Linked DNA regions of Caenorhabditis elegans. The protein of the gene in region 1 interacts with the protein of each later gene in a pairwise test. Each region holds a gene or a part of one and is shown in the gene's direction. Other genes may lie near its edges. The genes, in order: rps-24 and gakh-1.

Region 1 (3,069 bases):
TCCCTCCGCGTGAAGTTTTCTTGTTGTGGAAATTTCTGCGGCGAGCGGCATTGTTCTCCTGGAAAAAAAATATATAGTTTTAAAGAATAAATGTTCCGAAATGAGTATTTAAAGGCGCTCGGATCCTTTTGGATGGGAACAACTTTTCCGGCGGTTAGACCCATCCGAGTAAATCTGATAAATCTGTGTGCCTTTAAGTACGATTTCAGCATCTAATTCTACCTCAGATGCGTGAGAATCTCCGAAAAGCACTGTAGCATGCTCTCTGGCGATTCGAGGAGCTGGATCACTAATTATAGCTCGTGGATGACGCGGAGAATACCAACAAACCTGAAAAAATTTTTTTTTAAATCTGGAAATTATTCTGCTACTCACCTCATCTGTTGTTTTATTCCAGAAGTAATACTTCGCAAGTCCCTCATCATAGACTTCAACTCAGTTTTCGTGAAGTAGAAACTTTGCAAGGATTCTGTTCTTATTCTGTACATATCTCTCGGGCAAACTACAAAAAATAGCTATTTTAAAATAATTTTTCTCTAAAATTCAATACAAACCGATATTCCGGAGTTCCATCGACCCAATGACAATAGAAAAATTCGAGGCGAACGTGATATCGATTCCATTTATTCGGACAATCAGGTGCTCCAGCCAAATTTTCTTAGAAACTTCTGGCGGAATGCGCATTTCCTGTAAAATAAATACAATTAATCAGAACAACGAGAATGCCGTTGACATTTTCAAAAGCTTAAAAATTAAAAATGATGAGGTATGAGGAAAAAAATTTATAGTGTAAATCAAAATAAAAATGAGATTTTTCAATGTTTGTAAATAAACAAAAAAAAAGTTTTAAAGCATTAAATGCATAATTTAACGAGGCCCCACGAAAAGGGGAGCAGAACGAAAAGGGGATCTGCAAAAAAGGGATCTGCGAAAAGGGGAGATACTAATAGGGGAGATACGAAAAGGGGAGCAACGAAAAGGGGAGCTGGGCCAAACGCACAAAACGCTTTTTTATTCTCATTCAACGCACGACCTTGTTATAACCACACTCTGTTATTACGCATCGCGCGTTGTTTAGCGTAAAATACAAAAATAATGCGTGCGTTGAATGAGAATAAAAAAGCGTTTTGTGCGTTTGGCACAGTGCCAGCTCCCCTTTTCGTATCTCCCCTTTTCGCAGATCCCCTTTTTGCAGATCCCCTTTTCGTTCTGCTCCCCTTTTCGTGGGGCCTCAATTTAACCCGTAAACCTACACAAAACTTAAAGGCGCACACAGTTATTTCGCTGCGTACGTTGACTTCGTGGCGAGACGTCGAATGAGTATCCAACGCTTAAGCATTGCCTGTGCTATTTTTCTCTCATTTTCTCTTTTTTTCGACGATTTTCTTCAATTTATCTTCAATTTTCACGCCAAACCACGTTTATCTTTTAAATTTTCAACATAACAGTTTTCAAAATTAAAAATACAAGTATTGTCGTCTTTCTAAAGCATTTTTCTCAATTTTCTGGCCAAAATTAAATAATTCGCTCCATTTTCGTTGTTGACAATTTTAAAACTACAATTCAAATTTATTTTGCAGGTAATATTCATCACGATGGGTGACGTCGTTACTATCAGAACGAGAAAGGTTCTCACCAATAAGCTTCTCTACAGAAAGCAGATGGTTAGTTTTTAATTTCGAAAATGTTCGTAAAATGTTTGTTTTAAGTTGGTGATTTGCGAATTGCTTTGATATCACTACCGTTTTAACATGAATGGTTAACCTATTTTTCATTTCAGGTTGTCGAGGTGATCCACCCAGGGCGTCCAACTGTCCCGAAGGCTGATATCCGTGAAAAGATCGCCAAGCTTTATAAGACCACTCCAGACACGGTTATCCCATTCGGATTCGAATCCAAGATCGGAGGAGGAAAGTCGAAGGGGTTCGCTCTCGTATACGACACGATTGACTTCGCCAAGAAGTTTGAGCCGAAGTACAGACTCGTTCGCGTAAGTTACTTTTCTGAATAAGAACGGAATTTTTGATAGATGACTTCTTAGTCTAAATTGATAGACAAATTCCTACGTTCAGCCTTTCTGAAGAGTTCTCTTTTCATTCGTTAATCCGTGCTTTTCCAGATGGGACTTGCCACCAAGGTCGAGAAGCCAGGACGCAAGCAACGTAAGGAGAGAAAGAACAGACAAAAGAAGGTCCGAGGAACCGCCAAGGCCAAGGTCTCTGCTGGAAAGAAGTAAATCTGCAAAACTTTTTGTTGATTTCTATTGTTAACTTCAGTAAACGATTTTACTACAGAATTGTTTTCGTTTTTTATTGTTGTACTTGAGTTGGTATTCCTCTCATATTTCATTTCCATGCGGTTGTCTTATTCCTTTTTTAATGGTTTATGCTATTTCACTTCAGGTCGTCGAGGTTATCCGCCCAGGACGTCCAACTGTCCCAAAGGCTGATATCCGTAAGGAGATCACCAAGCTCTATAAGACCACTTCAGACACTGTCATTCCATTTGGATTCGAGTCATAGATCGGAGGAGGAAAGTCGAAGGGGGTTCACTCTTGTTTACGACACGTTTGACTTCGCCAATAAGTATCAGCCAGAGCACAGCTCCGTAAGTTTCATTTTTGAAGAGGAACTGCAATTCAAGTGGTGTCGTGAAATTAAGGAGTACACTGCATTATTCAAGTAACTTCAAAAACATGTATTCAATATTTCCGACATTTTTCCAGTTCTTTTATCATAGTTGTTCTCATGCTACGACAATTTTTGTGAATTTTCACCACTTTGATGTCTCGAACTACTTGAATACCCCATTAGTTGTGATTTCTCTTCAAATTGTCTTTTTCAGAATCATGATGGGGCCTCAACAAGCCGGACTTCAATCTCGAGAAGGAAAGAAAAGCGGAGAAGAGAACAAGCTCCGAAGGTGCCAGAACCGACCGCAGATGAAATAGAAGCAAAGGAAGAAGAATATAAGAAGAACAAGAGCGAGTACTACAAGAGACGAAACGAGGTGAAGACCGAAGAAGCTAGAGAGGTATGTTATAAACGTACTCCATTTATGATTAGAACC
Region 2 (5,865 bases), on another chromosome or scaffold:
AGAGAAGACATTTATTGCCTTTGTTGGCGCAAGCAGCCTACGTAAATTTCCCATTTTCTGGGTTTTCTGAATTTCCAATGAGCCACCGCGGATGACGTATTTAACAACAAGTACACACACAAAAAATCGGATGACATATGAAAAATGGAAATTAAAATGAGAACAATCGTCGCCAAACATAACATCTCTCCAGGTAGGAGGAAAACCGTCAAAGCTGCACAATGTCAACACACAAGGCGGTCACGACTTTTTGTTTATCAAACTGGCCAACAGATGGCCGCGCCGATGAATGGTGGATATTTGGAACGGAATTGAAAATTTTTAAATCTTTAATGATACACGTTTTAAAGCTGGGTTTTAAGTGTATTTTGAGCAAACGTTGGGTTATCTATTTTGTTTTTAAAGTTTGACAAAAAGACGTCAGCTTTCGCTGAATACACTGGCAATGAATACACCGCGTCACGTCATCGTATACACAGAATTGATACTGAACTTGCGGAAATAGTACAGCGAAGTCATTGGGTAAATGAGTAATGTACAATAGAGAATGGAAATTATTCTTTATCACTTCCGCTACAGTTGTGTAAAAACTAAGCTAGGGAAAAAACCTTAAACTGGTTGAAAAAAGCGGTTCAAAAGTAAGAGTTTGGATGTCAACGGGCATAAGTGACGGGCGTTTATGTGAACGACTCTTTCCTAAACAGGTTTTCTCCGGACAAATGAAAACGAAAACATAAGCGACGAGAAAAGAAGGGGAACTGAACCGAAAGGGGCAAATGGAGGAAGAGGAGGCACACGAAATGTAGAGAGACCGCGTCGCAGCCGCACGCGAGCTGATGTGGTGGTTGTGGTTTGAAAATAGAAATGACACTCTCGAAAAGGAAGGAGAAAGAGAGTATATCACCGCTCCCGAGTATCACCACCTGCCAAGTAGGTGCCATTGAATTCAACCATTTTTATGAATGAATTATGATTTAAAATACATTAGAAGTTGAAGATAATCGAAAGACTACAGAAAAAACGCAAAAAAAGATAAAAGTAATGTTACATAAAGTTTTCGGTAAAACTGGTTGAGCGAAAAATCACAAAAGATGTTTGTTTTTACGAGAGCTGCAACTGGTTCCACGTTGTTACATGTTGTGAGGTAGCAAATGCGTCAGCAGCCACCACTTGGCGCGTTTCGTGTGCGTTCCCCCACACCAAAAAAGGGCGCATTGTATGCAACATTTGCGTTTTTTCATTGATTTTCCTAATTTATTACAACGTGAATTTATTTTTAAACAGAAATCAGTACACTAACATTCACAGTCTTGCAATAAATGCTGCACTGACAAACAATAAGTTTTGCACTGAAAAAAATCGTTTTTTGTCATTGCAAAAAATTTTCAGTTTGCTGTAAAAATTAAATGAAACCTTTAACCCGTTTTCTTATAAAAGAAAGTTTTAATTGTCTTGTTCAACAAAACATTGAAAATTTTCGCAACGATTAAAAAAGCAATAGATGTGATATGAACTTTTCTATTTAAAATTGAAGAACATTGTGTTAGTTTCTACTTTTTTTTTAACATCAATTATTTTTGATCAATGATCATTTAAATTATTGGCTTTCTTCAAACTCGCTCCAAGCAAATTAGCTCAATTTTGCCAACAACACATCCTCCGTTGCCAACCGACACCCCACTTTCGCTGCTGCTGCCCAAATACTCCGCTTCTCTCAGGATTTTTCGACCACGAGAGTACATTTCAGTAGATGCGAGATGGAATCTATCCTATTCCTGACAAATAATGTGAATTTCTTGCCGTTAGTCTTGCGCTAATGGAAATGTGTACTTTATATTCTATGCAGATGAAGCTTTAAAGATAGGAAGGCTTAAGCGTATTTCTTATTGATTGAAACGTGTAAAAACATCATTTGCAAATTTAGAATAATTTTTGAGAAGCAAGATATGTAAATTGAGAAAAGAATGTTCTTCATAAGTCCAATTCTTAATTTTGAAAAAAATTATGTTATAGATACCACCTGAGACCTTTGAATTAAATTGTAAATTGTACATTTTTATCCCTGGTCTTATACTTTTTCATATATTTTTTTCCTTTTTCATATTGATGCACCGCTCATAAAACTATCACATTTTATTATTTTTAATGCACTCATTCTACTATAAATCTGCAATTTCCAAGATGGCATTTGCCCGCGCTCTTGGTGTGATTCAATCTGTCGGTCGAGGCGCAGGAATCAGTGAGCAGAGTGAGCTCTACGATCGTGGTCAGACATTCAGCATTAACGGAAACAATTATCGAGTGGAAAAGGTAATAGCCAAAGGTTAGTGGCCATAAATGACAATTTTCGAAGAGAGCTTATGTTTTGCAGGCGGTTTTGGAACGGTGTTTCTTGCGACCAACACCAAGGGAAAACAAGTCGCCGTGAAGATCATGCTGAGCCACGATGCAGCCGCGACGAAGGATATTGATAATGAAATTGATATGATGAAGAAGCTCCAACACGAAAATATTATTCAACTGTTTGATGCGTCAGCTGAAAGCAGAAGTTCAAATCGGTCCGTGAAAGAGTACAAAATATCAATGGAATATTGCAAATGTGGGTTGAATTTTTTTTGTTGCAAACTCACTCTCAAAAAGTATATTGTTAAAGTGGAGTACCGAAAGAAATCGGCGATTTTGTCTGAAAAAAGACGCAAAATGGCCCAAACCTACCGAATTTTGTGTAATTTGTTATTACTAATTTATTACTTGTTGATTCGTTGATTGAGATGTTTTTCAGTCAGTTTTTTTTCAATTTTCAGAATGTCTCATTACAAAACTGGATAGTTTTGGGCCATTTTGGGTCTAAAAAAGCAAAGTCTCCGATTATGGTACTCCACCTTTAATGTACATACAATTTAATGTATATAACTAAATTTTATTTCAGTTTCAATTGCGGATGTGCTTCTCAAGTACAAAGAAGTCTCAATTGACTTTGTCGTTCGCATAATCTACTTTACAACAAGAGCCCTAGTATATTTGCATTCCGTCGGCGCCATCCACCGAGATATCAAAGCAGAAAATTTGCTTATAAACGGAAATGGTTGGTCTTTCGTTGCTGATTTTAGCTAAAACTATTTTTCAGGAAAACTAAAACTATGCGATTTTGGAAGTGCTACAACAAAGTCCATCGAGATGGCACCACTATCAAATTCCGAAAGATTAGCGGTTCAGGAAGAGGTCATTCCGAAATAAATTTTAAATGAAATTGAAATCTAATTTTCAGATGTTCAAATACACAACACCTATCACCCGATCCCCAGAAGTTTGTGATGTCTACTCAAATTGGCCTATCGGAAAACAACAAGACAACTGGGCAATGGGGTGTTTGATCTATTTTGTTGCGTTTGGAGAGCATCCATTTGATGGATCAGCGCTGGCAATTATCAACGGAAAGTACAAGAAGCCACCACCGGTTCAGCAAAACCAGTTATCAGCGTTTGCAGATTTAATTGGTAAGGAGTTTTCTGCTGGGCGTAAAAATAATAAATAAAGAAATATAAACCCAACTTACAGCAAAGTGTCTGACACCCAATCCGGATGAACGAATTACTGCTGCAAAAATTGAGGAATACATGAAACTAGCAATGCAGAAACAACCAAAACTAGCTGCAAAAACTGATTTCACGGATATACTCGATCTGATGAATGTTCAACCGGTACAAGCGGAGCAAAGTATCGAATCGCAAGCTGCAAAAGGATTCTTTACAATGCAGGACAAACTATTTTCCAATTTGACATCACTCAAAAATACAGTTGTACAGCAGACGAATAAAATGGGATGGGGAATGGAGCCAACAAATACTACACCACGCCCCGGGCACCCTTCAACATCTCCGAAGCTTGTGCCAAAAACACATAGATCAAATCAACAGCAAGAGAGTGAGTGAATGAATTGATTGAAACTTCTCTAATGCCAGTATATTTTCAGAAAACGCACCACCGAGACCACCCACAACAGCAAGCCCTCGTGCAGCCCCAGTTGCAACATTCAAAGTTTCATGGCCGACTGATAGTTCTCAGAATGATTCTGCAAACGATTGGGGAGACTTTAGTCAAGCACCGCCAGCGGTGAATGTTTCGAAAAAAGACGTATTCGATCCGTTTAGCGAGTCAGCATCACACAATTTGTCTGCAAAACATAGCGAAGATCTGTTATCCTTACAGAATTGGCCAGGAACTGGTAAGATTTAGGACACTGAAAACTGCGGAAAGCAATTGAACAGCAATTGAATTCCAAACGAATCCTATGTCATTTAAAAGGGGACCTTCAAACCAGATTAAAATTTTTGATGATTTGTACGGTGCTTAGATGAAGGCAATAAGGCTACTTCCTGTCAAAACTTGGAAACTTTCTCCCAAACATTCTGAATATATTGAAAGCTTTTCTGTGAAAATTTTGCAAGTGTCTGACAACATTATATGTTTTTGAGCAGCTACGAATAATTTCCAATATATTTCCCTATGTTAAAAATAATTTGTCTTCAGCTGAGCACAAACCAGAGGTACGATCCCAATCTTCACGAGACTTGTTTGACTTTGACGACCTGATGCTCCGACACACGACACCTTCCGCCGAATCTTCTCAAGCTGGTACGGTTTGTTCCTCTACGCAGTTATCATTTGCTATGTATTCATTTTGTTACAACCTCCTCTTCATGAATCACTAAATGATTCATCAAAGGAATCAGCCCAAACCAAATGATATCCTCTTTTCAAATCTCATTTCCTTTTTCCTTTTTCAGTTTTACAACCAATACGCCAAGTGGAGAACAAGAACTTGACCAAAGTCGATGTTTCAAAAAACGGAATTGGTTCGTCATCCTCTTCTGCCAGCCTGGATGATATGGTCAGCGATATGATGAAAATGTCAACCAAGAAATAGATTAAAATAGTAAAGTAGTTCAAAAATTATAGTTATTTATCATATTTTCACTTTCTTTCCCGTCCTGTGAATGTTTTGTACGAATTTTGCCAATAATTGAAAGATGGAAATGTACTTATAACGAGTATCTTCTTCTCTTCAATACTCATTTTATAAATCTTTCAGAAAAAAATCCATCCTCATTCCTTCATTTTTTTGTTTCTCTGTAAATAAAATGTATCCTAAATTATGCTTACTTCTTAACTTGTACATCAAAAAATTCAAATGTTTTATCGTCTACGAAAAGTAATAAATCAAGAAGAACACATTGTTCCGAACGCAATGACCTACTTGTATCGGGGTATCTCCAGAATGGAATGAATCGATCCAGCATACAAATGTCCAACCAACTTCTCGTATTCATACTTTTTCTTAGCGTTCTAGCGCCCACGCTATCCATCTATAAGTCAAAACAAAAACCGAACTTGTTGTCGAAAACTGTTGATAATAGTATAACGTGCGACTTTTCGATTCACAAAAAGGGACCTTATGGACAAGTTGTTTCAGGTATGCTTTAGTTCTGGTGTTTGAAAAAAGTTTCAGAAAATAACAAATTTGAATTTAAAAAAAAAAGAAGTTTGTAAAAAACTACAAACATATACAATGTCTGTCAAACAGCCTCTGTTATTGTTTCAAAAAGTTCAAAAATTTCAGGAGCATCTCTTGACGACGAGATTTACTATAAAATAAAGTGTAAGCCAATAACTGGAAATTGCCTCCAAGTTGTAAATTGCACATTGAGCTCGGATGAGCCAGGTTTCCAGCCATACCCTATTATTGATGATATGGGATGTAGCCTTGAAGAGTCACTGTTCAAAAATGTTCAGGTATCAAGAATTTAGGAAATTTGGAGAACAATATCTACAAAATGTCTATTTTCAGTATCCAAACCACTTTGA

What was found.
Region 2: the proteins of rps-24 (region 1) and gakh-1 interact in a two-hybrid assay, tested with the Caenorhabditis elegans proteins (one large-scale study listed by BioGRID).

What each region holds. Positions count from the first base shown.
Region 1 is NC_003282.8:384,314-387,382, forward strand, and holds rps-24 (Small ribosomal subunit protein eS24), read left to right. Parts: upstream 1-1,580; 5' UTR 1,581-1,595; coding exon 1,596-1,664; intron 1,665-1,780; coding exon 1,781-1,990; intron 1,991-2,119; coding exon 2,120-2,236; 3' UTR 2,237-2,293; downstream 2,294-3,069. Other genes in the region: T07A9.14 (Small ribosomal subunit protein eS24), read left to right, coding at 2,386-2,607, 2,845-3,033.
Region 2 is NC_003284.9:5,781,224-5,787,088, forward strand, and holds gakh-1 (Protein kinase domain-containing protein), read left to right. Parts: upstream 1-2,181; coding exon 2,182-2,323; intron 2,324-2,371; coding exon 2,372-2,599; intron 2,600-2,929; coding exon 2,930-3,085; intron 3,086-3,127; coding exon 3,128-3,222; intron 3,223-3,268; coding exon 3,269-3,497; intron 3,498-3,558; coding exon 3,559-3,924; intron 3,925-3,973; coding exon 3,974-4,225; intron 4,226-4,530; coding exon 4,531-4,635; intron 4,636-4,787; coding exon 4,788-4,927; 3' UTR 4,928-5,232; downstream 5,233-5,865. Other genes in the region: F46G11.6 (ZP domain-containing protein), read left to right, coding at 5,305-5,473, 5,621-5,793, 5,849-5,865.